7 linked regions of the Oryctolagus cuniculus genome follow. The protein of the gene in region 3 purifies or fractionates together with the protein of the main gene of each other region. This does not show direct contact. Links are inferred from orthologs where the notes say so. Each region holds a gene or a part of one and is shown on either strand. Other genes may lie near its edges.

The links.
Region 1: the proteins of MED4 (region 3) and POLR2J purify together in Homo sapiens (affinity purification with mass spectrometry; 3 studies listed by BioGRID and IntAct, with this or other methods). This does not show direct contact. The link is inferred for Oryctolagus cuniculus from reciprocal best matches to the Homo sapiens genes MED4 and POLR2J.
Region 2: the proteins of MED4 (region 3) and MED9 purify together in Homo sapiens (affinity purification with mass spectrometry; 10 studies listed by BioGRID and IntAct, with this or other methods). This does not show direct contact. The link is inferred for Oryctolagus cuniculus from reciprocal best matches to the Homo sapiens genes MED4 and MED9.
Region 4: the proteins of MED4 (region 3) and SNAP29 purify together in Homo sapiens (affinity purification with mass spectrometry; 3 studies listed by BioGRID and IntAct, with this or other methods). This does not show direct contact. The link is inferred for Oryctolagus cuniculus from reciprocal best matches to the Homo sapiens genes MED4 and SNAP29.
Region 5: the proteins of MED4 (region 3) and CDK19 purify together in Homo sapiens (affinity purification with mass spectrometry; 7 studies listed by BioGRID and IntAct, counting the BioPlex papers as one, with this or other methods). This does not show direct contact. The link is inferred for Oryctolagus cuniculus from reciprocal best matches to the Homo sapiens genes MED4 and CDK19.
Region 6: the proteins of MED4 (region 3) and MED12L purify together in Homo sapiens (affinity purification with mass spectrometry; 3 studies listed by BioGRID and IntAct, with this or other methods). This does not show direct contact. The link is inferred for Oryctolagus cuniculus from reciprocal best matches to the Homo sapiens genes MED4 and MED12L.
Region 7: the proteins of MED4 (region 3) and CCDC138 purify together in Homo sapiens (affinity purification with mass spectrometry; 3 studies listed by BioGRID and IntAct, with this or other methods). This does not show direct contact. The link is inferred for Oryctolagus cuniculus from reciprocal best matches to the Homo sapiens genes MED4 and CCDC138.

The regions. Positions count from the first base shown.
Region 1 is NC_091450.1:44,084,269-44,088,541, forward strand, and holds the start of POLR2J (DNA-directed RNA polymerase II subunit RPB11-a), read right to left. Parts: upstream 2,801-4,273; 5' UTR 2,698-2,800; coding exon 2,645-2,697; intron 1-2,644. UniProt on the Homo sapiens protein: Core component of RNA polymerase II (Pol II), a DNA-dependent RNA polymerase which synthesizes mRNA precursors and many functional non-coding RNAs using the four ribonucleoside triphosphates as substrates.
Region 2 is NC_091448.1:66,357,005-66,361,266, forward strand, and holds the start of MED9 (mediator of RNA polymerase II transcription subunit 9), read left to right. Parts: upstream 1-1,462; 5' UTR 1,463-1,553; coding exon 1,554-1,780; intron 1,781-4,262.
Region 3 is NC_091440.1:67,111,463-67,114,962, forward strand, and holds part of MED4 (mediator of RNA polymerase II transcription subunit 4), read right to left. Parts: intron 2,093-3,500; coding exon 1,961-2,092; coding exon of another isoform or gene 1,917-1,960; intron 355-1,916; coding exon of another isoform or gene 346-354; exon of another isoform or gene 302-345; coding exon 129-301; 3' UTR 1-128. UniProt on the Homo sapiens protein: Component of the Mediator complex, a coactivator involved in the regulated transcription of nearly all RNA polymerase II-dependent genes.
Region 4 is NC_091452.1:29,626,593-29,630,092, reverse strand, and holds part of SNAP29 (synaptosomal-associated protein 29), read right to left. Parts: intron 3,227-3,500; coding exon 3,030-3,226; intron 1-3,029. UniProt on the Homo sapiens protein: SNAREs, soluble N-ethylmaleimide-sensitive factor-attachment protein receptors, are essential proteins for fusion of cellular membranes.
Region 5 is NC_091436.1:60,781,398-60,785,657, reverse strand, and holds the start of CDK19 (cyclin-dependent kinase 19), read right to left. Parts: upstream 2,801-4,260; 5' UTR 2,766-2,800; coding exon 2,530-2,765; intron 2,497-2,529; exon of another isoform or gene 1-2,496.
Region 6 is NC_091435.1:130,278,715-130,282,866, forward strand, and holds the start of MED12L (mediator of RNA polymerase II transcription subunit 12-like protein), read right to left. Parts: upstream 2,801-4,152; 5' UTR 2,550-2,800; intron 1,668-2,549; 5' UTR 1,543-1,667; coding exon 1,444-1,542; intron 1-1,443. UniProt on the Homo sapiens protein: May be a component of the Mediator complex, a coactivator involved in the regulated transcription of nearly all RNA polymerase II-dependent genes.
Region 7 is NC_091433.1:100,007,045-100,010,544, forward strand, and holds part of CCDC138 (coiled-coil domain-containing protein 138), read right to left. Parts: intron 3,376-3,500; coding exon 3,274-3,375; intron 1-3,273.

The sequences.
Region 1 (4,273 bases), on a different chromosome or scaffold from region 3:
GAAGCTCCTGGCTCCTGGCTTCAGATCGGCGCAGCTCTGGCCATTGCAACCATCTGGGGCATAAACCATAGGATGGAAGACCCCTCTCCCTCCCTCCCTCTCTGTGTGACCCTGACTTTCAAATAAACGTTTTTAAAAATGTGCAAGTATTATGTGTCAATTAAAAATGTTAAGGGGCCAGCACCTGTAGTGTCAGCATCCCATATGGTTCGAGTCCCGGCTGCTCCACTTCCAATCCAGCTCTCTGCTATGGCCTGGGAAAGCAGTAGAAGGTGGCCCAAGTGCTTGGGCCCCTGCACCCACATGGGAGACCCGGAGGAAGCTCCTGGCTTCGGACTGGTGCGATTCTGGCCATTACAGCCAACTGGGGAGTGAACCAGCAGATGGAAGATCTCTCTCTGCCTCTCCTCTCTCAAGTAAATAAATAAATCTTTAAAAAAATAAAAATTTTAAAGCAGCGGAAGAGTCCATGGGAGCTGGTGCTGTGGTGCAGTGGGTTCAAGTCCCGGCTGCTCCACTTCCATCCAGCTCTCAGCTGGGGCATGGGAAAGCAGTGGAAGATGGCCCAAGTGCTAGCGCTCCTGCACCCGTGAGGCTCCTGGCTTCAGATCAGCCCAGCCCGGGCCATTGGGGCCATTTGGGGAGTGACCCAGCAGATGGAAGACCTCTCTCCCTCCCTCCCTCCCTCTCGGTCTTTCAAATTAAAAAGTCCATGGGAAAGGAAATACAAAAGGCGCTGTGTAGGCCGGCGCCGCGGCTCACTAGGCTAATCCTCCGCCTAGCAGCGCCGGCACACCGGGTTCTAGTCCCGGTTGGGGCGCCGGATTCTGTCCCGGTTGCCCCTCTTCCAGGCCAGCTCTCTGCTGTGGCCAGGGAGTGCAGTGGAGGATGGCCCAAGTGCTTGGGCCCTGCACCCCATGTGAGACCAGGAAAAGCACCTGGCTCCTGCCATCGGATCAGCGCGGTGCGCCGGCCGCAGCGCGCCGGCCGCGGCAGCCATTGGAGGGTGAACCAACGGCAAAGGAAGACCTTTCTCTCTGTCTCTCTCACTGTCCACTCTGCCTGTCAAAAAAAAAAAAAAAAAAGGCGCTGTGTAAACTAAAAACACGTTCATACCAGAAGCCACAGCGTGAGCACCTGTGATGGTAATGGGTGCTTCATAAACACGTTGCTGTGGCACAGGTAAAGCCACCTGCAGTGCCCGCATCCCACATGGGCGCCAGTTCGAGTCCCAGCTGCTCCACTTCCAATCCAACTCCCTGCTAATGCGCCTGGGAAAGCAGCGGAGGACGGCCCCAATGCTTGGGCTCCTGCACCCCCATGGGAGACCTGGAAGGAGCTCCTGGCTCCTGGCTTCAGATCGGCTCAGCTCCAGCTGTTGCGGCCACCTAGATAAGACCTAACTCTGCCTCTCAGATAAACTTAAAGAAAAAAAAAAAGGAGAAAGAAAGAGAGGCACAGAGAGGGACGCACACAGGTCTTCTCTCCGCTGGTTCACTCCACAGATGCCCGCCACAGCTGGGGCTAGGGAGACGCTGAAGCTAGGAGCCCACGAGAGAGCCAGGTCTCCCTGGGCCATCACCTGCGGCTTCCTGGGAGGTGGAGCAGCCAGGGCGGGAGCAGGCACTCCCCCCGCGCCACAGGCCCGCCCTGGGGGCTGCACGGCGCCCGGGGCGCCCGGGACCACCACGCCTGCTCCCCTGGTTGCTAGTCTGTGCCCAGGGAGGCTCGAGCGGCCGACAAGGGTCGCACCCCAGCCCCCGCACCCTAGGCTGCTCAGACTCGGAAGGCATTGCCCCCGCGAGAACCCACTTAACCTCTCCCTGTGCTTAACCACAGCGCGCGTGCAAGCAGCCCATTTTTCCAGGTGCGCACAGTGCGCCTCGGCCAGACCCAGCCCACACCACCGCCTCTTAGGATGACCAGGCGTTCCCGGAGCCAAGCCAGGGGCAGCTGATGGGACAAACAGGGCACACTCAGCGGCTACCACCTCTCATCACGAAGCCGCAGGCCCCAACCGCGCACCTGCGCCCTCGGCGCAGCCCCCGAACACCCTCCTCCTCGTTCAAGCTCCACCCGCGGCTGACCACGGAACGCACGCAATCCACGCCACAGCTTCCTAGACGCGCGCGAAACCCTCCCCAAGCGACTTCCCCACGAGCGAGACCCGCAACGCCTGCGCCCCTCGGTTTGGCCAAGCCACAAACACTCCTTCCCACGCGCAACCCCAAAGCCACGGTCCGCGCGCTCCCACGGGCGCCCGGCCAAGCCACGCGTCCGAGGACCACAGGGCGGGCAGGCGGGCGACCCGGGAGCCCGGCCCAGATGTGTGGCCGCCAGACCGCGGGCCCCGACAGGGCGGACCCGAGCTCCGGAGCCCTCGCGCAGGCCGCCGCGTGGAGGGAGGACGCGGGTGGCCGGCCGGACGCCACAGGGACGCCTGCCGGGGCCCCGCGGAACCACAGCACTCTGCAGCAGGACACTTTGCAAGTCCCCGCAAGTGCCGGCGTGCCCAGGGCACTGCCCCCCTGGGCGGACCCAGGCCGCTCGGACACTCGAACACTTCCGACCCCCGAGCCCGCAGGACACGCAGGAGCTGCGGGCCTCGGCCCGACCCTCCGCCGCCCCGCCGGGCTCCACTTACTTCTTCTCTCCCTCGAAGAGCAGAAACGACTCGAAGGCCGGAGGTGCGTTCATCCTGGCACCGCGGCCCGCCGGCGACTAAACGGCCGCCGCCACCGCCTCCAAACCCGACCGCGCGACTGCTTCCGGGTCACGCCGGCGGCGCCTACCGCGCCAGGACCGGCTCACTGCCCCCTAGCGGCGGGGAGGAGCTAGCGCAGGCGTGAGAAAAATTTTCCCCGATGCGCTCTGCGCGTGCGTCAGCCCGGAGGCCACGCCCCCGCCGCGCTCCACGCCTGGGCCAGGGGGCGCGGCTCTGGGGGTGCAGGCAGTCGGAGCGTTGCGCTGCCCGCTGGGTCCCGGCGAAGCGGGAAGCCGGAGCTACGCCTGTCTCCGCTGTCCATGCTTCTTGATCTCTTCTTTGGAAATGTGCCTTGGAATGCACCGCAGCAGGCCCCGGCACAGATACAGAGCCATGGGGTAGTAGGAGGCCGTGGCTGGGGGTCGAGGAAAGTCTTGTGGTCAGAGTGATAGGCGTGGACGGCCCCTCCAAGGCACCTGGCCAACAGCCACGAGGCCCTGGTCACCGGCGTCTTGTTGGCGGGGGCAGCTGGGTGAGCGCTGGGAGGAGCAAGTGCGACAGGTGTGACAGGGGGGTGGAGGGATACAGGTGCACCACCCCGCCTTGAGCTCCTGATTGGTGCCGAAGGCCCTCCCGGAGCTGTTCGGCCAACAGGGACTGGGGGCTCAGAGCAACCACAGGGACCCTGGTTGCAGCCTGGAGCCCCCACGGGAATCGCATCTCCCTGCGCGGGGGCGGAGGGGGGGACTTAGTACCTGGGAACTGCCGCTCTGCCCGGGGCCCGTGGGTAATGAGCCACGCCCTCTCGGCTCATCCTGAAGACTTTAGGACGCTGCCCTACGGAGACCTGGAGGTGACGCCTGGCCAGGGTCCAGAGCAGGGGATTCCCCCCCACCATCCTGGCCACCACCATGGACGGCTGCTCTCCTGGGGGAGTGCTGACCCCACTCGCCGGAGCGGCACACCCCCAGACTCTTCTGCAGGTCCATGTGGGGTGCCCCACGAGGGGATGGTGTGACCACAGCCTGGAATAGCTGGGCGAGGGGCACAACTACACAGTGGCCTGGGCCCCGGCATCCCGTATGGTCGCCGGCTCGTGTCCCGGCTGCTCCACTTCCAATCCAGCTCCCTGCTAATGCACCTGGGAAAGCAGTAGTAGATGGCCCAAGTGCTGGGGCCCCTGCACCCATGTGGGAGACCCGGATGAGGCTCCTGGGTCCTGGCTTCGTCCTGTTGCGGCCATCTGGGGCGTGAACCAGCAAATGCGCTCCGTCTCTCCTTCTAACTCCAACTTTCAAATAAATAAATCTTTATTTAAAAAAGAGAGATGCACATGGGCTAACAGGTGAGGAATGGATGGATGGATGGATGCACTGTGTTCTCCGTGCTGCTCTGGGAGGGAGGCTGAAGGCTGTGAGCACAGGGGGCGGGGTGGGGCAGGGAAAGGGGGTGTTGGGGTGAGGGAGCCGGCTGGCTGAGCCCCGCCGGGAGGCGCAAAGCCCCCACCCACCCTGCACTCGGGCTGACTGTACAGCAGGCAGTGGCCCTCTGCTGGTCATCGCGGGGTGG
Region 2 (4,262 bases), on a different chromosome or scaffold from region 3:
CGTCATCAGTGCAGCTGAGGCTGGCCACGTCTCTGACAAAACAGCCGCCTTACATATTCATGAAGCAGCTGCCTTTGCTGACGTTTACCAGGATGAGTATTAAACAGATGCGTATTTTTGTGGCAATGTTGGGCTTCCTGAAAGCAGCCCAGGCAGGATTTTTCTGACATATGCTTGCAGCATTACAAAACTTTACTCTTTGTCACTAATTATATGAACTATTTATAGGGCAAATTGTCAATACCCAGTATTTGCTCATGCATCTAACATTTTCAATTTGTGGGTTTTTTTGTTTGTTTTTTAGCCATATCTATTTATACCTGATTTTTTTTTTCTTTTTAAAGGACGTTCTCATTATGATGCCAATGACAAATTCGGGGCTTGTGATCAAACACGCTGGGAGGGGAAAAAAAATGACGCACGTTGCCATGGGGATATTATTGATGACTATTAGATTGCTTCTCAAATTCTGAATAGAAAGCCACGTTAACATTTTGAATCATAAAGTTACAAAACTAGCAGAAGCCTGAGGAACCTGGCTGAGACCATAGGTTTGGCGTTAGGCAAACTGGGTGACCCTAGACCCACACCCATTGTTAAGTCTCAGTTACTTTGTCTTTAAAATGGGGATGCTTTGGAGTTGGCGTCCTAGCGCTGTGGGTTAGGCCAGAGCTTGGGACACCTGCCACCCACACTAGAGAGTTGTTTCAGGTCCCGGCTGCTCTGCGTCCCATCCAGCTCTCTGCGGGACACCTGCCCCCCACACTAGAGAATTGTTTCAGGTCCCGGCTGCTCTGCCCAGCTCCCTGCTAATGAGCCTGGGAGGCAGCAGATGATGGCCCAGGTGCTTGGGCCCCTGCCACCCACGTGGGAGTCCTGGATGGAGTACCTAGCTCCTGGCTTCAGCCTGGCCCAGCCACAGTTGTTGGAGGCATTGGGAGAGAGAAGTATCCGAGAAAAGATTTCCGCGTGTCTATCACTTTGCCTTTCAAATAAAAATAAATTTAAAAATGTTGAACAGTTGTTTTAAAAAAATAAAATAGCGGGTCGAAGCCATGGTGCTGTGGGTTAAGTCGCGGCCTGCAGCGCCGGCATCCCATATGGGCGCCAGTCTGAGACTCGGCTGCTCCACTTCCCACCCAGCTCTCTGCTAAAGGCCTGGGAAAAGCAGCAGCAGATGGCCCAAGTACTTGGGCCCCTGCACCCGCGTGAAAACCCTGAACGAAGCTCCTGGCTCCTGGGTTGGCCCTGGCCCAGCCCTGGCCGTTGAGGTCACTTGAGCTAAATCGCCTGTTTCTGACTAATTTACTTAACTAGACTCGCAACCAAATCCAGCCTACACCAGCCCGCCCACCGCATGTCGCCTAGCAACAGCCTCCTCCCCTCACGCCTGCGCTTTTACCCCGCCCCCTGCTCAGTGCGCATGCTCAGATCCGTGCGTCCGGCCCCGCCCCTGCGAGGCGCTCAGCAGTGACGTGTAGAGTCCGCGACGCTCCCGGCGAGCCGAGCCGGTGAAGTGGGGGAGTTGGCTCGCTGGACCGAGCCCCGGGGCCATGGCCTCGGCCGGGGTGGCCGCTGGGCGACAGGCCGAGGATGCGTTACCGCCACCGGCCGACCCGCCGCTGACCGAGACCAAGCCGTTGCCGCCGCCGCAGCTGCCGCCACCGGTGGCCGCGCCCCAGCCGCAGCAGTCGCCGGCGCCCCGGCCCCAGAGCCCCGCCAGCATGAAGGAGGAGGAGAACTACTCCTTCCTGCCGTTGGTTCACAACATCATCAAATGGTAAGGAAGGGCCCCGGAAGAGGGGGCCCCGCCGCCGCCGCTGGCGCTGGCGCTAGGAGGCTGCAAGGGTGCGTCCCCATTTCTCGGGCGGGCAGGCCGAGGCCAGGGGGTGGGCAGGGGCCTCTCCCGAGAGCTCGCGGCGCCTGTCCGGGCGCATGGGGGCGCCGGGGGGCGCCGTGCTCTATGCGGGGGACACTTGCTCCGAGCTGGCCGGCACAGGTGGCCGGGGGCCTCGGGAGCCTGGGCAGCGTCCCTGAGGCTCCGTAGGGTTAAGACGCGCTCTGGTTTTCTCCTCGTCTTCAGCACATCCCGCAGAGAAACATCGTCGGGACTGCATAGCGTTCTGCTAGGCGTTACGGGGTGCGCACGGTAAAAGGGGCCGACTGCGGGCCGGCCTTGTGGCGTAGCAGGTAAAGCCGTCGCCTGTAGCGCCAGCATCCCGAATGTCTCCAGTTCGAGTCCCGGCTGCTCCACTTCTGGTCCAGCTCTCTGCTGTGGCCTGGGAAAGCAGTGGATGATGGCCCAAGTCCTTGGGCCCCTGCACCCACGCGGGAGACCTGGAAGAAGCTCCTGGCTCCTGGCTTTGTTCGGGCTATTTAGGGAGTGAACCAGTAGATAGAAGATCTCTCTCTGTTACCCATAATTATGTTACCCATAATTCATACAGATTGAGCCTGCAGGGCTGAGATGGCCTGCAGAGACACAGAAATCGCCTCCACCGGGCCTGGACTAACTTGATCCCAGCCTACCTTGAAAGGATATGGCCGTGCTGTTGGCCAGCCCTCAGGGGAGCCCAAGCTTTCGGACAGACAGGCTCTGGAAAGGAAAAAACAAAAACAGACAAGAAACCAAAGTCCCCCCCGTTCCACGCTTGCCTGAGTGAGTACGCCGCTGGCGCTGACGTCACGGAGTGGTGCCTGGGAGAGTGAGGAGGTGCAGCCGAGGCATCGGCCGCTTGCTGCAGGCAGACACGTCCCAACGGGACATGCGTGGTGTTTGGCCTTTCGTGGAAGTAGGAGGAGTACGTTCTGAAACAGCAGTGAGAGGTATAGGACAGCCAATACGAGGATTGTTTTGAAAGTTCACGGAAAAGTGCGTATTATGGAAAGATGTGTATGGGTTTCATTTTATTTTTCAGGGATTGGTTTTACTTATTTGAAAGGCAAAGTGATAGGGAGGCAGAGAGAGAGAGAGATCTTCCATCTGTTGGTTCACTGCCCAAATGGCCACAACGGCCGGCCTGGGCCAGGCTGAAGCCAGGAGCCTGGAACCCCATCCGGGTCTCCCACGTGGGCGACAGGGGCCCCAAGCACTTGGGCCATCCCGGCTGCTTTCCCAGGCGCATTATCAGGGAACTGAATTGGAAATGGAGCAGCGGGGACTTGAGTAGGTCCTCATGTGGGATGCCAGCATCAACGGCTTGTGCCACAATGCTGGCCCCTGAACCAAAATTTTAGTTCCATTTTTCCAGTAACTTTTTTTTTTTTAATTCATTTGAAAGGCAGAATTACAGAGAGGCAGAGAGAGAGAGAGAGAGAGCTTCCACCCAATGGTTCACTCCCCAAATGGCTGCAACAGCCGGAGCTGTGCCGATCTGAAGCCAGAAGCCAGGAGCTTCTTCTGGGTCTCCCAAGCAGGCAGGGGGCCAAGGACCTGGGCCATCTTCTACTGCTTTCCCAGGCCATGGCAGAGAGCTGGATCGGAAGTGGAGCAGCCGGGACTAGAACCAGCACCCATATGAAATGTCGGTACTGCAGGCGGTGGCTTTACCCACTACGCCATAGCGCCGGCCCCGCAGTAACTTTCTGAAGTTCCCTGTATGAGAACTGGCAGTGCAGTCGGTTTCTTTCCGTCGGAGTCACCACGAACAAGGTTGTTTTCAGCCCCGTTTTAATCTCATGCCACCATTCGTCGTGTGTGTAGTCTGTTGTTGGCTGACTCACGACTCAGTGCTAGATGTAAACCCCCAGGCTTGCCACTCGAGCTCAACCATTTAAAACCAAAGCAAGCTAAACTTGACACCACCACCATTGCGGGGGCGTTCAGGTTGAAGGTTGATGGGCTTGCCGATGCTGTGCTGAGATGGAGTCGCTGCTGACAACGTGGACTTTTTTTTTCTTTTAAAGATGTATTTATTTGGAAAGAGTTACAGGGTCCGATGTTACCTGCGGTGCTGCCTTCCCATATAGGCACCGGGTCGAGTCCTGGCTGCTCCACTTCGAATCCAGCTCCCTGCTAATGGCCTGGGAAAGGCAGCAGAAGATGGCTCAAGTGTTTGGACTCTGCTACCCGTGTGGGAGACCCAGAAGAAGCTCCTGGCTTTCACCTGCCCCAGCCCTAGCTGTTATGGCTGTTTGGGGACTGAACCAGCGGGTGCAAGATCTCTCGCTCTGTCTCTCCTCTCTAAGTTTGACTTTAATTAATGAATAAATCTTAAAAAATTTTTTTAAAAAAGGAGTTACAGTGAGAAGAAGAGACAGAG
Region 3 (3,500 bases):
CAATTTCACCATAACAACATTTACCTGGTTCTTCCTTACAAATCTGCAATTTACATTTCTCTGCTATTGTTTAAGAAACAGAATTCTACAGGATTCAATTCTGTATGCTGTCTTCCATTTTTCTTTTTTCAGTCAGAGTCACTACTACTGCTTGAAGAGTCCGTTGACATGACCTCTACATCATCCTCATTTTCTTTATTATGCCCAGGAGGTTCCAACAGAAAGTCATTACTGTGATTTGGTGGCAACATATTCATTGACATATCATTTGACTGCCACGGGTATTGTGGAGCAAGAACATCTGGAGAAAGAACAAAGCAGATATAAAAATAGTCCTATTCGTAATCAATCAGCCTGTCAGCTACTTTTCCCTTTATGCAAACAATCTGAAGTACTTTTTTTAGGCTAGAAATAAAAAATCCACATATGGTCAAATTAGTGATTAAATTTATGACTAGCAAGGAAAAATGTGATGTTTTAGTAGGGACATTTTCTTTTAAAATTATAGTCTTCTACAAGAATCAATAGTGAGCTGACAATTTTTGTTTTACAAGATGTTTACAATTACAAATGAAATGTTTTCTCTATGTATATTATATATGCCCATATAATTATATATATTATATATAATTATATATTACCACACATATTATTCAATATATTATAAATAGATAATATCTGTACTACATGAAATATCATAGATGTGAACAATTTGTTAGAGCGAAACGGCTATTTTAAATCATTCTGACCAAAGAGAAGTTGATTGGCAATATATGTATAAGAAACATCTTATGAAGTGCCCATGTCACATTAAGAGCATATATTGTTTTTGAAGAAAAAGAACAGAGCACATGAACAGGTATAACTTAAGGCTAAAAGAAGTAAAATTTGAGAAGAGCCAGAAGAGAGTATTACAGTATTAACTACACAGGTATGCCAATTAGCTTCCAATCTACTCTTCCTCCTGCACTCTGAAACCATTTCTTTGCCAGCAGATGGCACTACTGACACCCTGAGAGGAACAGCCTTCCTGGGTGGGTTGTTTTGCCTTTATTCCCACTGTGCCTGGCTGGTGTACAGGACCAAGTACAAGACCATCCCTATGGGTGGTTTCTCAGTAGGTTTCTCCAAAATCCCAAATGGTGGCTTCCCAGGATGTCTCCCCGGAACCCCAGTGGGTAATTTCCTGCATGCCAGCTCTGGCCTCTGACTACCAGGAGTAGGCCAGGGCTACACTTCAGCCTCTCCAGGGAGAGAGCTCTGTGATGATAATGGGATGGGGGTGGAGAGAACATTCCTCCAGTCTGCCCCTTCTTAGGATACCCTGTTTTGTTTCTAGATGGAGTAGCTGCTTCCCATATCTATTATTCCTGAATGTAAGCTTTCCTTGTTTAAATGACTGGTGTGGTTTCTGTCTCCTGACTAGCACCCAAGTATTAGCCAGTACAATCACAGAAAGACGAAGCGATATCCCAGAAAACAAGTATAGGCAGCGAGGTCGCCAATTTGTGCTCTAGGCAGCTAACAAAACTGATGCATACAAATCATATTCAGTAACATAATAGACCTTCTCAGAAAGGATGATTTTTTCTCTTTATGTCTTTTTGCTTTCCAAAAGTTTCAATACATCAAAACAAGTCAACAAAATATGTATTTATTCTCTTTACATAGCATGTTTCACTACTGCAAAAAGGCTGTTTACAACAATAAAAATAGAGGAAATACCCATGCCTGAGGAGGATGGCAGAACACTAACAGAGAGAAAGGCAGCTCATTCTAATTTCATAACCACCATCTACAGGTTTCTAGCAAAGAGCAGGAGACACTGGCAGAGTACCTTGCTATTAAACTGACACAGGTCTGGAATGTCACAAATTTTTATTTAACAGTTAGCCATCCCATCATTGTTACCTCACAAAAACCTGGATCTGCTGGAAAACATTCTTCCAGTTAACAGTACCTGGCAGTCTGCCCGCTGCAAGTGCATCCCCTGGTAAGTGACCATTCACACCATTAGCAGAAGGATTGTTCATCTGACCTAATAATCCGCTTCTCATCTCCAAATCAGTTGGGTATGGTCTCCGTGGGTCCCCTAAAACAGTAAAGCTGCTTTTAAAACACACACACACACACACTCTCACAAAAGCATTAACATCTTTGAAATGTTAATTTTCCTCAGTACACACTGAAAAATTTCAGCTACATTTTCAAATCTGGAATATGCAGATAATCAACTGTTATCGGCTGCATCATACATTATTTTTAAAAACGTGTCTATGGGGGTTGTCGTTTAGCTTACTGATTAGGATGCCAGTTAAGAGACCACATCCTTTATCACAACACCTGGGTTTGATACACCAGTTCCAGCTCCCGACTCTAATTTCCTATTAATAAAAACCCTGGGAGGAAGCAGCATTGGCTCAAGTAATTGGACTCCTGCCACACATGTGGGAACCCTGGATTGAATTCCTAGTTTCCATCTTTGGCCAGGCCCAGTCTGGCAGTTGTGGGCATTTGGGGAGTGAGCCAGAAGATGGGAGTGCTCTCTTGTTTTATGTGTATATGTCTCTGCCTCTCAAATGAAAAAATCTGTGAAAAGAATATGTATTTTTTTCTTTTCTGAATCTCCTGTATATGTAAAATAAAGAGACAAATTTGTCATTTTAACAAACATTCCAATTTCCAATTTAAGAAAATCATAACCTCAATTCTTCTAAATTAACTGCATTTTCTAATAAGAAAAATAATGAGGGGCAGGCACTTTGGCACAGTGGGTTAAGCCACGTTTAGAACACTGGCATCCCGTTATCAGAGCACTGGTTCAAGTTCCAGCTTTTCTGCTTCTGATCCAGCTCCCTGCTAATGCACCCGGAAGGCAATAGATGATGGCTCAAATACTTGAGTCCCTGTAACCCACAAGGGAGATTCTTGGCTGGCCAAGCCTTGGCTGTTTGCGGGCATTTAGGGAATGATCCAGCAGATGGAAGAGTCTCTCTGTGTCACTGTCTTTCAAATAAATATTAAAAAAAAAAAAAAAAAAAAACAATTATATATGTGTGTATAAATATATATAAATACATAAATACACACACTGAGGGAGAACAGATGACATGAGACAGAAATAACTAGAATATCTGTAGGACTATCTAAATTAAACCCTTTTCTAACCAACCTGTTATGATCCTGCTATTTAAAGACTAATTCCTATAACTTATTAGTGGGCTATTGGGGCAGGTAATGTTTATTCACAGCAGAAAAGCATGCTAAACAGCCATACTGGGATCAAATTTCTGGTAATGTTTCTCACCAACTTCAGATTTATTCACCCCCAAAGCTGCAGTTACCCTAGTACTCTTAGCATGGTAAAATACCACCTTCAGGAGTTACTCTGGTTGAGGTAATTATCTTCCATTCCTCCAAAAAGGCTGCTGCTATACTTTAGGTCTCCTGTCTGATATGTTATCCACTGTTGATGTGAAAACATGTAACAGACGTTTCTC
Region 4 (3,500 bases), on a different chromosome or scaffold from region 3:
TGGCTTCTGGCTCCGTATCACACAGTTCCAGCCATTGCAGCCATCTTGGGGAGTGAACCAGGGGATGGAAGATCTCTCTCTCTCTGCCTCTCCTCTCTGTGTAACTCTGACTTTCAAATAAATAAATCAATCTTAAAAAAAAAATAAACTAAATGAACATCCTACCTTTCCTGTGGCACAGGTTGAGCATCCTAGCCTGAACACCTAAAATCCTAAATGCTCCAAAACCCTAAACCTTTTTAGAAAAAGATTGATTTATTTATTTGCAAAGGTAGAGTGGCAGAGGGAGAGGAAGAGATTTTCTATCTGTTGGGTCAGTCCTCAAACGACCAACAATCAGGGCTGAGCCAGGCTGAAGTCAGGAGCCAGGCTCTATGTGGGTCTCCCAGGTGGGTGGCACAGACTCCAGTACTTGACTCGCTGCATCTCTGCTGCCTCCCAGGAGCATTAGCAGGGAGCTGGATCAGAAGCAGAGCAGCCAGGACTTGAACTGGTGCTCCATCATCGGATGTAGGTGTCCCAAGTGTGGCTTAACCTGCGGTGCCACAACTCCTGCCCTGCCCCCAATCTGAAACTTCTTGAGCGCTGCTGAGTTTTAGATCTTGGAGCATTTTGGAATTAGGAATGCTCAATTGGTAAAGTCTATGCAAATATTCCAAAATCCAAAAAAAACTAAAATCTGTAACACTTCTGTCCCAAGCATTTCTGATGAGGGATACTCATCTATAATTAAAAGCAGCCAAAGAAGGCCGGCGCCGCGGCTCACTAGGCTAATCCTCCGCCTAGCGGCGCCGGCACACTGGGTTCTAGTCCCGGTCGGGGCGCCGGATTCTGTCCCGGTTGCCCCTCTTCCAGGCCAGCTCTCTGCTGTGGCCAGGGAGTGCAGTGGAGGATGGCCCAAGTACTTGGGCCCTGCACCCCATGGGAGACCAGGATAAGTACCTGGCTCCTGCCATCGGATCAGTGCGGTGCGCCGGCTGCAGCACGCCAGCCGTGGCGGCCATTGGAGGGTGAACCAACGGCAAAAAAGGAAGACCTTTCTCTCTGTCTCTCTCTCTCACTGTCTACTCTGCCTGTCAAAAAAAAAAAAAAAAAAAAAAAAAAAGCAGCCAAAGGAAAACCCAATTCTGTTATGAGAAAGAGTGACAGGGATTTAAAGTTAGGGTCGGGGCCGGCATTGCAGCATAGCAGGTAGGGCTGTCACCTGTGATGCTGACATCGCTTATGAGTGCTGGTTTGAGTCCCGGCTCCTCCACTTCTGATCCAGCTCCCTACTAAAGCACCTGGGAAAACAGCAAAGATGGCCTAGGTAATTGGGCCCCTGCACTCACGTGGGAGACTCAGATGAAGTTCCTGGCTCGTGACTTGAATCTGCCCCAGGCCTGGCTGTTATGGTCATCTCGGGAGGGAACCAGCAGATGCAAAATCTCTGCTTCTGTCTCTCCCTCTTTCTCTCTTTGTAACTCTGCCTTTCAAATAAATGAATTAATAAATCTCAGAAGTAATTAATTAAAATCAGGGTCAAGCTGGAAAATCTGCGCGAAGTGGTGGTTGGGCCTAAGCCAGACAAATCAACCCTGGTGCATCTACGGGAGTAGCCCCAGGGCATTGCAGAGGCCTGCTTTCCTCCCTGCAGTGTCCGATCCAGACGCCCGGAGCCTCCCCCACCTCTTCTCTCTGCTACCATTACTGGCTCTTTACCAACATTCCTTTCTTCCCAGACCCACTCAGCTTCAGGGAAGACTACAGCCCGATACAGCAGAGTGCTGGTTTGAGGACCAGCTCCTCTGCTTCAGGTCCAGCTTCCTGCTGAGGCTCCCAGGTGGCAGCAGACAACGGCTCAAGGCCTTATTGCTCTGCCACCTCTGTGGGTGATTTGTATGGAATTCCTGACTCATGGCTCCAGCATGGTCTAGCCCTGGCTGTTGTGGGCATTTGGGGAGTAACCCAGTGGATGGAAAAATCCCTCTATGCCTTTTGTATTATTTTTTAAAATATTTGTTTTTATTCATTTGAAAGAGAGTTATGGAGAGACAGAGAGAAATTTTCATCTGCTGGTTCACTTCCCAAATGGCTTCAATGCCTGGAGCTGAGCAAATCCGAAGCCAGGAGCTTCTTTCGGGTCTCCCACGTGGCTACAGGGGCCCAAGGACTTGGGCCGTCTTCTACTGCTTTCCCAGGCACATTAGCAGGGAGTTGGATTGGAAGTGGAGCAGTCAGGATTTGAACCAGTGCCCATATGGGATGCCAGTGCTGCAGTCTGGGGCTTTATCCTGCTGTGCCACAGTGTCTGCCCCTGTATCTTTTAAGTAAATGAAAATAAATAAAAAAGTGAAAAGCAATGGGCAAATTGAATTATATGTAGAACACCTGGGTGGGAAAAATGACTTTTTAAAGTACAGATACTGCTGGGGCCAGCTCTGCAGTATAGCGGGTTAAAGCCCTGGCCTGAAGCACCGGCATCCCACATGTGCGCCAGTTCTAGTCTTGGCTGCTCCTTTTCTGATCCAGCTCTCTGCTACAGCCTGGGATAGCAGTACAAGATGGCCCAAGTGCTTGGGTCCCTGAATCCACGTGGGAGACCCAGAAGAAGCTCCTGGCTCCTGGCTTTGGATTGGCACACCTCTGACCATTGTGGCCATCTGGGGAGTGAACCAGCGAATGGAAGACCTCTCTATCTGTCTCTACCTCTCTCTGTAATTCTGTCTGTTAAATAAATAAAATAAATCTTTTAAAAAAATAAAGTACAGATATTGTGTAGGGAGTCCCTTACAGCCTGATCTAACTTTCTGAGGTGAACACTCTCAGTACTGGGGTGACAATCAGTATAGCAGGAATTTACTGGAAACCCAACTTATGCACAATCTGCAGACTAGGTGCCAATCAAATACATATAATCAGGCGTGGGAAGATGGGTTAACACAAAACCCTCCTGAAGTATAACTTACAGGCTTCCTGAATCCCCTCATGGCTCGGCCAAGGCCTGGAAGTCTTCCGTTCACGCCAAAGCCCACTTCTGCTACACTCACCTGCTGTTGGGCTGGGGGGTGCCGGTGCCATTCTGTTCAGGGGCCGCCTCTGCGGGTTTGGATTTGAAGTAATTGACAAGGCCCCCGAACATGCTCTTAATGCTGTTGATGTGCTTCTGGCTGGTCTTCAAATCTTGGTCCATCTTGTCCACCATCTTCTCCGTGCGTTCTAAGACTCCTCGCTGACGGACGAGCTCCTAGGAAAGACACGTGGCAGTTATCCTTCTGGTAGTTCTCCCTGGCCCATGAGAACCACATGTGGGTACTCCATAAATGCGAAGCACATGTCGGGGCAGACGCTGTCACCTGTGAAGGGCACGTCATCATTTTTTGCTTAAAAGATTTATATTATTAATTTGAAAGGCATAGTTAGAGAGAGAGTGAGCACTTCCATCTGGCTGGGTCACTCTCCAAATGGCTGCAACGGCTGGAGCTGAGCTGATCTGAGGCCAGGAGCTTCTTCTGGGTCTC
Region 5 (4,260 bases), on a different chromosome or scaffold from region 3:
TTGAAAGGCAAAGAGACAGATCTCCAACCTACTGGTCCACTCCCCAAATGCCTGCAGCAGCTGGGGCTGGGGCTGACCAAAAGCAGGAGTTTTGAACTCAATCAAGGTCCCAGACATGAGAGGGGTCCGTCTTCTCAAGCTATCACCTGCTGCCTGTAAGGGTGCACACCAGCAGCAAGCTGGAATGGAGAGTGGAACCAGACCTTCAAACCAGGCACTCTGATAGAGGGCATGGATGTCCCAAATCATATCTTTTTATTATTATTATTTTTATTTTTTTTTATTTGACAGGCAGAATTGGACAGTGAGAGAGACAGAGAGAAAGGTCTTCCTTCTACTGGTTCACCCCACAAATGGATGCTACAGCTGGCGAGCTGCGCCCATCTGAAGCCAGGAGCCAGGTGCTTCCTCCCGGTCTCCCATGCGGGTGCAGGGGCCCGAGCACCTGGGCCATCCTCCACTGCCTTCCCGGGCCACAGCAGAGAGGTGGACTGGAAGAGGAGCAGCTGGGACTAGAACCCAGCGCCCATATCGGATGCTGGTGCCCAAGTGAGCCACAGCGCCGGCCCCACAAGTCATATCTTAACCACTACGCCAAACACCCATCCCCAGAATAATTTCTCTTTAATGCACCCATGTAATCTATCTCTTGCTCCCTAAAATATCTTTAAAATTTTTTATAAACAGAGCTAATGTATTTACTATGATCATAATATAAAAATCCTTTACAATGTAAATCTGCATCAGAGTTTAGGGACTATCAGCAAAAACTTTGTATTCTGTCAAATCACTGATATGAACCTAACTGACCCCATTACCGAAGGTGTTTATCAGAAAGTTGCAAATCTAAACTAAAATTTCAGTCCAAGAAAAAAAAAGTTCATTATGATTTTTCATATATGTAAAATAGTTCTTTAATGCTTTCAGATCCTACACAACAAATATACTGAAAATGCACAAACTGACCTTACTCTAGTAATGAAAGTTTATGAATTCTAATTAATAAATTTCACTCAAGAAAGGAGTGTATTCCAATCAAGAACTTTATTAAAAGGACAAATATTCAAAAAGAACAAAGAGCAGGAATTAAATTACTTCTTCTTGCAAGCCTGTCCTGTTCAAATACAATTCAGAAGCACATTTGTTTAACTTCTCAAAAGTAGTCTGCTAAAAGAATGCTATTTTATCCAAAAAAAAAATACATTTTTAAAATTCTGAGGTATATTACAAAGTCTGCGTGAGGAGTATGGAAAAAAACGCACCTCATATTTATTTTACATCAATGTCCAATCCGGAAAACTTCGTGTGCATTCCCCAAATATATCCACAGAAGCACAAGTAAAACAGGTCGAGTGGACATTCCGAAAACAAGATACAACTTAATTACAGTACCTCAGATTCCATGATGTGCATGCAAGGATACCTGGTAATTAACTAAAAGAACTGAGAAACTGCGTACTAAAGAACCTGTTCAGTTATTAAAGAAAAAAGCTACCTGCAGTAACAATCCTGTAAACTTGGGATAAGCCTTTGAACAATTTCACGATGCTTTATGATAAAATACTTTATAAAACTGTGCTTTGTTGTTCCTCTTACGAAATTAGCACACACAATCTACCTACTTGGCTCTAGAATTCATAAACCAACCACATCAGATTACAAGAGCGTGCAGCACTTTGAGTCTTACGTCGTGTGGCTGCTCAACACTTCACTCAGAACACTCCGTTACAATTCTGAAAACTCTGTTCCGGTTACTTGGACCGTCTGTGGGGTCTAGGCAGGACAGGCAGACTTTCCGTGGCGCCCTGACACCGGGGGAGGGGAGTTCCGGGGCGAGGGGGATGGGACGAGAGGTGACGACCCGCTGCAAGCCACCGCTCGAAGGCAGGGAGCTGGTTCCACCTGTCCCGCTGTGCGAGCTCCGCTGCCCACTATCCAGCTTCCCAAGGGGTTCCCACGGGTCTCCCTCAACTCCCAGGACAACAGAGGTTCGGGCCCTGCCCCGTCACTCCGTATTCCGCTCGGAGTAACCTGCATGCTCCGAGAGCCCCAGCGCGCAGTCCACGGCCAGCGCCCGGGGTGCAGGGCGCAAGAATGCCCGAGACCCCCGGGCAGTGCTACGCGGAACTGAAAGAACTCTGAAGTTACCGCCGGCAAAACGCGGTTCCTGTCAAGGAAGCGGTGGTCCCACCTTCCAAGGAGAAGGTGTGCGATTCAGAAAGTGAGACCCCGAAACCGGAGGGGCGCGGGAGGAAGGGTCGACTGGGACCGGAGCGACAGCGCTGAGGGGCCACCGGGCTGACGGGCCCGCGAGGCAGAGGTCGCGGCTGAGAGTGGCGGCGCCCAGCCGGCCCGTCCGCCCGCCTGGCTTCCCCCGCCAGGTTTCAAACCGCCGCCCCCGAGAGGCGCTCAGCCGATTGGAAGTTCCTCAGCGACCGTCAGCAGCCCAGGGCCGGAGCGCCAACTCCGCGACGGGGGCTCTTCCAGCCCTCCGCGTCTCCCCCACGAGACAGACCCCACCAACTCCACCTCCAGCCGAGGTCCCAGCTGGAGTCCCGCCGCCGGCTCCAGGCACGCGGAGGGCGCCCACCAAACGGGACCGGCCCCCCGACGGGGCTGCGCCGCGGGAGTTCGAGGGGCGCGAAGGGGCCGCGCGGGGAGCGGTCAGAGCGGGCGTCCCTCAAGAGTCCGCCCCGGGACGCGGCCCCGCGCCCACCTCCGCCTCGCCCCTGGGGCACGGCGCGCCCGAGCTCCGACCCACCCATCCCGCGGGGTCGCGGGCAGGGCGAGGATCGGAGCGAGCTCACTCCCCCGCCCCTGCTCTTACCCATCTTTCCGCCTCGCCTTGTAGACGTGCCCGTAGGTGCCGCGTCCCACTTTGCACCCTTCGTACTCAAACAAATCCTCCACCCGCTCCCGCTCCGCCGCCAGCTTCGCCTTGAAATCATAATCCATTGTCTGCTTCCCCCATAGAGGCACCGGGACGCGGGGGCCGCCGCCGCTCAGTCCCTCCTCCTCCTCCTCCTCCTCTGCCTCCTCCCCCCGCGACCGCCGCTCCACTTCTCCAACAGCCGCCTCTCGGGCGCGCGCGCGCCGCCCGCCGCTCCGCGGTCCGCCTTCAGCAAGGGACTCCTCGGCGGCCGCGGCAGCCACCCCCTCCACCTCCTCCTCCTCCTCCTACTCCTCCTCCGCGGCGGCGGCGGCGGCGGCAGCTCCCGCAGGCACCCCCGGTCCCGCCTCCCCCCTTCATTTCCTTGTTTTGGAACCTGGTGGGCCGCGCCGCGGCTTCCTCGAGCTCATTAACGAGCCAGCCCGCCCGCCCCAAAGCTGCGAAGGCTCCTGGGAAATGTAGTTCCTCAGGCCCCAGGGGCCGTGGACGTTCGGCCCGCGCGAGAAATACAGCTCCCAGACTACCTCGGGCCTCCACAGCCTCGCCCCCGCATAGCACGCACGCGTGCGCACTGGGGCCGCCCCTCCCCCTCAGGTAGCGCTGGGCTACCAGTTCCTGTGAAGGTAGAAGGCGCAAAGTTGGAGGGTGCTTCGTGAGAGACTGTGGGCGTGGGTGTGTCGGCGGCCCTTGCTCTGCTAGGATGAGGTACTCCGGGCCAGAAGGGGCGTGGGAATTGTGTCACACGCAGGGCGCCTCGCGCAGCAGCGCGCTCCGAGGGCTCGAGAGGGAGGACTGGTCAGGACAGTTGTAACGCAGGTTGTTGTTTGTTTTCCGCGGCGAGCGGCCCGCCCCCGTCCCGTCGCTCATTGGCGGAGGCTAGAGAATGACGTCCGCCGTGGTGCGTGGTGTCCCCGGGCTCTGGCTGCTTTCCCGCTCTGGATTGGTAATTGCATAGGCTTGGTTCTTCCTGATAGGTTAATCGTTTTTCTTTACGATGCAGAAACCGTATTTCAAAACCTGTAGAGTCAGCGGTTTCCTAGTTCTTGCCTTACGATAAGGAGGACGAGTAACTTCTGAGCCCCAGCAGCCAATCAGCCTCTTCTTGGCGCTCGAGTCGGTTCCCTCCGAGCATGTGCGGCGCCCGCAGCCGAGCTTGGGCCATCTGTCTAAGGACAATTAAAGTGCCCGGAAGATGCAGCGTTTTAAAAGCAATCGTTTGGCTTGCCTTTTTAAGGCCTTTTTTTTTTTAATTTTTTTTTCGGTTGGGCACTCCTAGGAACGGATATGTGCCTTTAATCCGGCTGAAGGTTGAGTCATTATTTCATTGAAGTGTTGGGGCTCAGGCGGCGCCACCCTCCTGACTGTGCCCA
Region 6 (4,152 bases), on a different chromosome or scaffold from region 3:
GCCAGTAATTTTGCCTTACGAACTTTCTTTACTTGGGGTTCTTAGTGTCTCTATGACCATTCCCAGACCTTCTCCATTCTGAGTAGGGGTCTCCATTCTGAGTAGGGGTAGCAGAGTGAGCAAAAGGGTACAGAAGAATCTGCCAAATCTCATTCTTCTCTCACCCTGTGAAGCCGCTCCTGGGAGCCACGTGTAAACCTCCGCTTCAATCTGAATTATTCCACTGGTGCTGAAATTTAGCGTGCCAAACCTGGGAGAGGAACCAGTGCTCCTGGTTTCTCAGATGCATTAGGAGCGAAGCACTGTAGCCAGAACAAGCATTCTTCCTCTATCAACGAGACAGATACATTTATCACAACGGAAGTCTTAAGGCCCCTGGCCTTATTACAAAGCTCTTTCTGCACTATCAGTGGGCCTATAAACTTTAATAGAGGAATTTTTCTTTTTAATTCCCAAATAAGTTGTGAGATGTGGTAAGTTGGTGTTTAAACAGAACGGATGGGCTGCAGCTGGCAACTCCAGAAGCACAGCTGGGAAGCAGGTGATTTAAAAAAAAAAAAAGCCAAGTCCCTGGGCAAATTGTGAAGCCTAGGGTGGTCATTATTATAACTGGAGAGTTGTTACATAATTACTTGTTAACTCCTGGCAAACACATACATAGCTACAAAATGCCATGGTTACCCTAGCCTTTGAAGCTGGTGTACCTGGTACAAGAGTCAAGGTTTCTCCAATTAATTTCATTCAAAGAAATAAGCAATCCTGGGACCTATTCCCTTCCAAGGTAACTCGCCAGCTTTTCCGTATACAAAACAGCCTCCCGCAATTAAGCCTATCGCCTCTAGGGATGAAAATCAGTGTTTCTCTTTAATACTGATTTTTAAAGAGGAGAAGATATCCAGAGGTACATTCAGAGGGCTAAATATTCATCACCTCTAAAAAAAACCAACAAACAAAAAAACCGACTTCCATTCCCAACTGGAAAACTGGAAGATCCCCCCCACCTCCGTCCCTGCTCGGCTGGCGCAAAACGCCAAGACCTCGGTGTCGGAGGCACTGCATTCCAACATTTTTCAAAAAGTTTACGGGGATTTACTGAAGCGGCGGAGAAAAAAAAAATAAAGCACTTAGAAGCGGAGGAGAACGAGCAGAGGGGTTTCGGCAAGGAAGCCGCCAGCGAAGCGCCTGGCGGCGCCGTGCAAGGCCCGATAACCGGGAAGCGACCCGGCACCCGAAGAGCGAGCGCCCCCGTGGAGCGCCGGGACTGACAACCGCTCGGTCTCCGTCGCCCGGGGTCCCCGAGCCCCCTCAGCCCGGCCCCCGCCTCCAATCCCGCTCCCCGACCCTTCCCCCGCAGCGCCGGCGATGCCCGCCGGGCCAACTTGGCCCCGGGTCAGCGCTGCGGAGCGCGGCCCCGGTAGCCGCGGAGGCCGCCGGCGCCCTTACCTCTTTCTGCTTGGGGTCCTGCGGGTAGACGTCGGGCGGCCCGAGCCGGGGGCGCTTCAGCGGTCTCTGCTCATAGCTGAGAAGCCCGAAGGCGGCCATGATCTCTCATGTTAACCGGCGAAATGAATGAGAGTTGGAGCAGCCGCCTCTGAGCACCAGGGAGCAGCACTTTGCAGACAGACTCCCTCTCTCCCCCTCCGCTCGCTCGCTCGCTCGCTGTGGCGCTGCAGGCAGGAATAAAGCAGGCTGGATGCTGCCGTGCCGGGCACGCAGACACGAGCTGATGGGGGCAGCCTTCCGCGGGCACCGGCTGCGCTCGGGCCCCGGGACGCACCGCTCCGGTGCCGGCGGCCGAGGGGCTGGAGGTCTGCCAGGGTCCTCCGCGGCGCCTGCCTCCCGCCCACCCCTCTCCACCCTGTCCCCAGGGGGAGGAGCAGCTGATGGGAACGTGTGACTTTTTTCACCAATGGACCCAAACCCACCTCAGCTGGGCGCAGGATGGGCGTGGGGGAAGGGCACGAAGGGGGGAAGAAAGAAAAAAAAAAAACTTTCTTGGCGCCTAGGAGCGGTGGCTCAAGTGCTCGTCCCAGGCGAGGGTGGCCCTGATCCCCGGGGAAGAGGCTGCAAAGCGGCCCGCCCCCGCCCCTCTTCCTCGTCGGGGACCCTCCCCCGGCCGCCAAGCGCCCTGTAAGACCCCGCCACCTGGGCTCCGACCCGGCCGGTGCGGAGGGCAGGAGGCCAGAACAGGCTCGGGGAGACGGGGATTCGGACGGTGGAAGCGGCCGGTGCCTCCTAGACGCCCGCCAGGCTCCGGTGGCGCATCCGCGGCTGGGGTCCCCCTCAGCGGCTCCGGGCAGACGCCGAGGCGCGCTGCTGGCGGTCGCAGCGGCCGCGGCAGCTGGAGGGGGCCGTGCTCACCGTGGCGCGGGGCCGACTTAACCCTTTGCTGCCCCCTCCAGGGGCTGGGATGGGGGCTCCGGCGGGGTGGGGATGGCTGAGAGCGCCGACGGGGGCGGCCAGCCGCAGGCGTGCCGGGCTCCTCCAGCCAGCCGCCCTCCCCGGCCTCGGCGCCTCCTCCCTCCCCACCCCCACCCCTAACAGTTTACCTGTTGGTCCCTGGCTAGCGGGCAGGGGCCGGCGGCGGCGGGGGCACTCCTGCGGCCGCAGCCTCCATCCTTCGGGTTGGGAAGGGGGGATTGGATTGGATCTTATTTGTGATCCACCTCGCCCGGACGAGCTCCGGGGACGCCGCGAAGTTTGCGGCTGTCTGGGGGCGGCGAGCGACGCCGGCTCGCCGCCGGCGTTCTCGCCCCCACGGCCCGGGAGCGCGAGCTTCCGAGTTGGCGGACAGCGGCGCGGCGGCCGCACTGAGCATGCCCAGCTCGGTGGCCGGACCGCGGAGGAGTTGGCTGCGAGCGCGCTCCGATCCGCCTCTCCGGGTTTTCGCAGCCGCAGAGCGCTCAGCCCGCGGGCCCCGGCGCTGGGGCTGGCCCTGGGGTGAACCTGCACCAGAGCGAGGGCGCCCTTAGGAGCCCCCTGTTGGCCTAGGGCTGAGCTCTCCCTCTCGACCTCCCCTGCGGTCGCTGTCCCCGTGGCCTGGGCCGGAAACCTCACCTGCGCGGGACGCGTGGATGGGAGGGGGTGGTCCTCCGGCGGAGACCGTCACCTAACCCGCCCGCGCTCCCCGCGCGCTTCGGGGCGTGGGCACCGAGATGCTGGGCCACCTGCCGGGAGACCGAGGCCGCGGAGGCGTGCCCAGCCTGCCCCCGAGGGACGCCGCGGGAGGCGCGCCCGGGAGGATGCACCCGCACTTGGCCAAGAATGATGGCTGCCATTTACGGAGCCTCCGCTTCGTGCTAGGATCTCGACAGTCAGAATCTCGGATGCTTACGACAACCGTGCATGGCTTTCCTGCACCCTTTCTACAGATGGAGAAATTGAGTCCTTTGCGGGGGGGGATGAGGGGGTTCAGGGTCCTGCTCGAAGCCAGGAAGCGAGTTGGGATTTGAACCTGCAACTGCCCGATCCCAAGTTTCCGTCCTCTATCCCATACTTGGAGCTGGAAGGACTGGATGCTCGCCCATCCTAGCCTGATTGTTCCCCAGGGCTGGAGGAATTCCTTCGACGTGATGCAGGCACCATCTCACCTGAAGCTTGTGTACAATGCCTGATACACAGTGGATGCCCAGGAAATGTTGGTCGAATCAGAGGGTCTACTTACCTCTGCCGACTTTAAAAAAAAAAAAAAAAGAAAGAAAGAAAGAAAGAAAAGAAAGAGGATGTAGACAAAGCGACAGCAGGGTGGCCGAGCTGGTTCCTCACTCCAGACCTTGACCTATGAGCATCTCCAAACCCAGCCTGAGACGGAGTCGGGCCTGTAGAGTGAGTTCTTCCCAACCACTTTCCCCACCTCTGTCGCCGGGACTTCGCCTTCATGAATACCCTAGCGTGTAACTCATACCTGGATTTGCCCTTGTCATATGGGCAACTGTCAAATCTAGTTCTCCTGCTTCACAGGCAGGGCAGACTTTTTTTCATCTAACTTTATCATGAAGATGATCAAACATAACAAAACCCGTAGAAATGGTATAAGGAGCCCCTAAATACTACCATATGAATAATCTCCTGGCTGTAACAATTATCAGAAGTTCACCCTTCTCTCTCATTATCTTCTCCATCCCCAGTACACTGACACACTAGCAAGAACAG
Region 7 (3,500 bases), on a different chromosome or scaffold from region 3:
CCCAAGTGCTTGGGCCCCAGCACCCATGTGGGAGACCCAGAGGAGACTCCTGGCTCCTGATTGGCCCAGCTCCAGCCATTGCGGTCATTTGGGGCAGATGGAAGACCCTCCCCAACCCCCCGCCTCTGACTTTCAAATTAAAAAAAGGAAATTGAAAGAACTGTGTCTTATTATCAAAATAATTCTTGGGGGGCAGCAGCACTATGGCACAGTGGGTTAAGCTGATACCTACAACGCCAGCATCCCATATGAGCACCAGTTCAAGTCCCAGCTGCTCCACTTTTGATCCAGCTCCCCACTAATGCACCTGGGAAAGCAGTGCTTGGGCCCCTGCTACCCACATGGGAGACCCAGATGGAGTTCCAGGCTTCTGGTTTAGACCAGGCCTAGCCCTGGCTGTTGTGCCTTTTTCAGTAGACCAGCAGACTGAAGACTGATCTCTCTCCATCCTCACTCCATCTCTGAGTGTAACTCCTCCCCTCTAAAATAAAAAAATATCAAAGAGTAAAGAATTTTCATAAAAGTTCTTTATCCCAAGCTTGATAAAACAGAAAAGTAAAATTGGTTTTAACTCAACAGCATTAACCTCCATAATGAAAAAAGTCTAACAAGTTCTGGCTACTCCACATCTGATCCAGCTCCCTGCCGGTGGCCTGGGAAAGCAGTGGAAGGCAGCCCAAGCACTTATGTCCCTGCACCCATGTGGGAAACCTGGAAGAAGCTCCTGGGCCCACCTCCAACCATTGTAGCCATCTGGGGAGTGAACCAGCAGATGAACACCTCTCTCTCTGTTTGTCCCTCTGTAACTCTGCCTCTCAAATAAATAAATCTTTACAAAAAAAAAAACCCAACAACAACAAACCCACAAAGCTGGAGACATCATAATACTAGATTTTAAGACATACACATGGAGCTACCAGCATAGACCTATAGACCAATGGAACAGAACAGAAACTCCAGAAATTGACCCACACTTTACAACCAACTACTCTGACAAACAAGCTAAAGTCATTTCCTGGAGGAAGGGTAGTCTTTTCAACAAATGGTATTGGGAAAACTGAATTTCCACATGTAGAAGTCTAAAACAGATTCCCTACATTAATCCTATACAAAAATCAACTCAAAATGGATCAAGGATCTAAACTTCAGACCTAAAACTGTCAAAAACATGAAACACCAGACACTGGCCTAAGCAAAGATTTCTTGGGTAGGATCCCAGAAGCAGTATAAGCAAAAACAGACAAATGGTATTACATCAAGCTAATTAGCTTCTACACAGCAAAGGAAACAATTAACAAAGTGAAGAGACAACCAACAGAATAGGAGAAAATACTTGCAAACTATTCATCTGATAAAGGATTAATATCTGGGATATATAAGGAGCTTAAACTCAAAAACAAAACAAACAATCCAATTGAGAAATGGGCAAAGGATACAAATAGACACTTTTTTGGTAACTTTTTAAAAAAATTTATTTATTTGAGAAGCAGAGTTGGGGGAGGGGAGACAGAGAGAGAGAGATCTTCCAACCACAGGCTTACTCCCCAAACAGCTGCAACTGCTGAAGCTAGCTGATCGGAAGCAAAGAGCCAGAAACTTATTCTGGGTTTCCCATGTGGGTGCAGGGGCCCAAGCACTTGGACCATTTTCCGCTGTTTTCCCAGGTGCATTAGTAGGGAGTTGGATTGGAAGTAGAGCAGCCAGGACTCAAACCAGTGCCCATAGGGAATACTGGGGCCACGGGCAGAGGCTTTACTCACTACACTACACCATGGCAATGACTCCAAATAGACATTTTCAAAAAAATACAAATGGTCAATAGACATGAAAAAACTCTCAGGATCACTAGCCATCAGAAAAATACAAACAAAAACCACAAAGAGGTATCACCTCACTTCAATTATTATGTCCTATACAAAACTCAGAAAATAACAAATGCTGGCAAGGTTGCAGAAAATAGGGTAACCTAATACACTGTTGGTGGGAATGCAAACTAGTGTAACCATTGTGAAAAACAGTATGGAGAATCCTCAGAAAACTAAAAATATGTCTACCATAGAACCTGGTTTGGAATCCTGGGAATATAAGCACAGCAAATGAAATCAACATATGAAAGAGGTACTTGCACTCCCATGTTTACAATGCCTCAATTGACAACAGCAAAAATATAGAACCAACCTAAATATCCATCCACTGATTATCAGGTAAGTGTATATATGCAAGATAGAATACTAGTCAGCCTTTAAAAAGAATGAAATTCTGACATGTGCAACAAAATAGAACTGGAAATCAGTATGCTAAGTGAAACAAGCCAGACCCAGAAAGACAAATACCACGTTTTCTCTTATTTGTGGAAGTTAGTATGTAGAGTATAAATCTGTGTGGATTTCACATCATTTGGAACAGTCACAATACTGCCTCACTGAAGCATACCACTTATGTGACAATACACCCTTCTTTCCACATTATGCTCACCGGCACGAATCCTCACTTTGTGATATATTCGTTTTCAAGAAAAAAACACTGCACATGTGCATGGAGATTTACTGTCTACACATGAAATCAATGTGGCAACATGTGGAAAACTTACATTTTAAAGTAAAAGTAAAGCAAACACTCTTTCTTGCAGCTACCTCAGTAAATTGCAACACCTCAAAACAAATTAAACATCGAAAAAATTTGCAGAGAAATATTTTAATAAATAAAAAGAAAACATTAAATGGCAATCCATAACAACGGTATAAAATGGCTGAGAACACAATGATAAACAGTTACCACATCCTTCTAAAGAGTAATTTCTAACCCCTCTCAACTTCATTCAAATAGAAATAAACTGCTTTTAGATGAGAACTTCAATCATCTTGAATACTTCAATATAAAATCTTCTTTTCCAATTTAATTTATACAAAGAACTAGAAAATTACCTGAAAGGATTAAAGCCTGCTATGACACTAAGACTACTAGACACCTACTGGAAGGATCAAAATGAAAAACAATGAAAATACCAAATGCTGGCAAGGCTGGGGAAAACCAGAACTTTCATACATCATTAACAGAAGTATGAAGTGGTATGACCACTTTGGAAAGTTGTCAGTTTCTTACAAATACACATCTCCCTATGGCTCAGAAATTTCAGTCCTGGTACTCACCATGAGGAATAAAAACAATGTCCACAAAAATCTTGTACCTGAATACTCACAGCCCATGATTCAAAGCAAGAAAAACAGAAACAGCACAGGTACCCATCAACAGAATAAACTGGGATAAACTCACGCAGTGGAGTACTGCTGAGCAAAGAAACAGCCTACTGATAGCGTGATATAATGCTGAGGAAAAGAACTCCACATGACCAGCACATAGTAAGCGATTCCATTCCTAAAAGAGGAAAAATAATTCATGGCGACAGAAATTAGATCGACAAGTGGTTCTGGCAGAGAAACACGACCAGGAAAAGGCACAGAAGAACTTTTTAGGGTAACAGATATGCTCTATAATTGGTT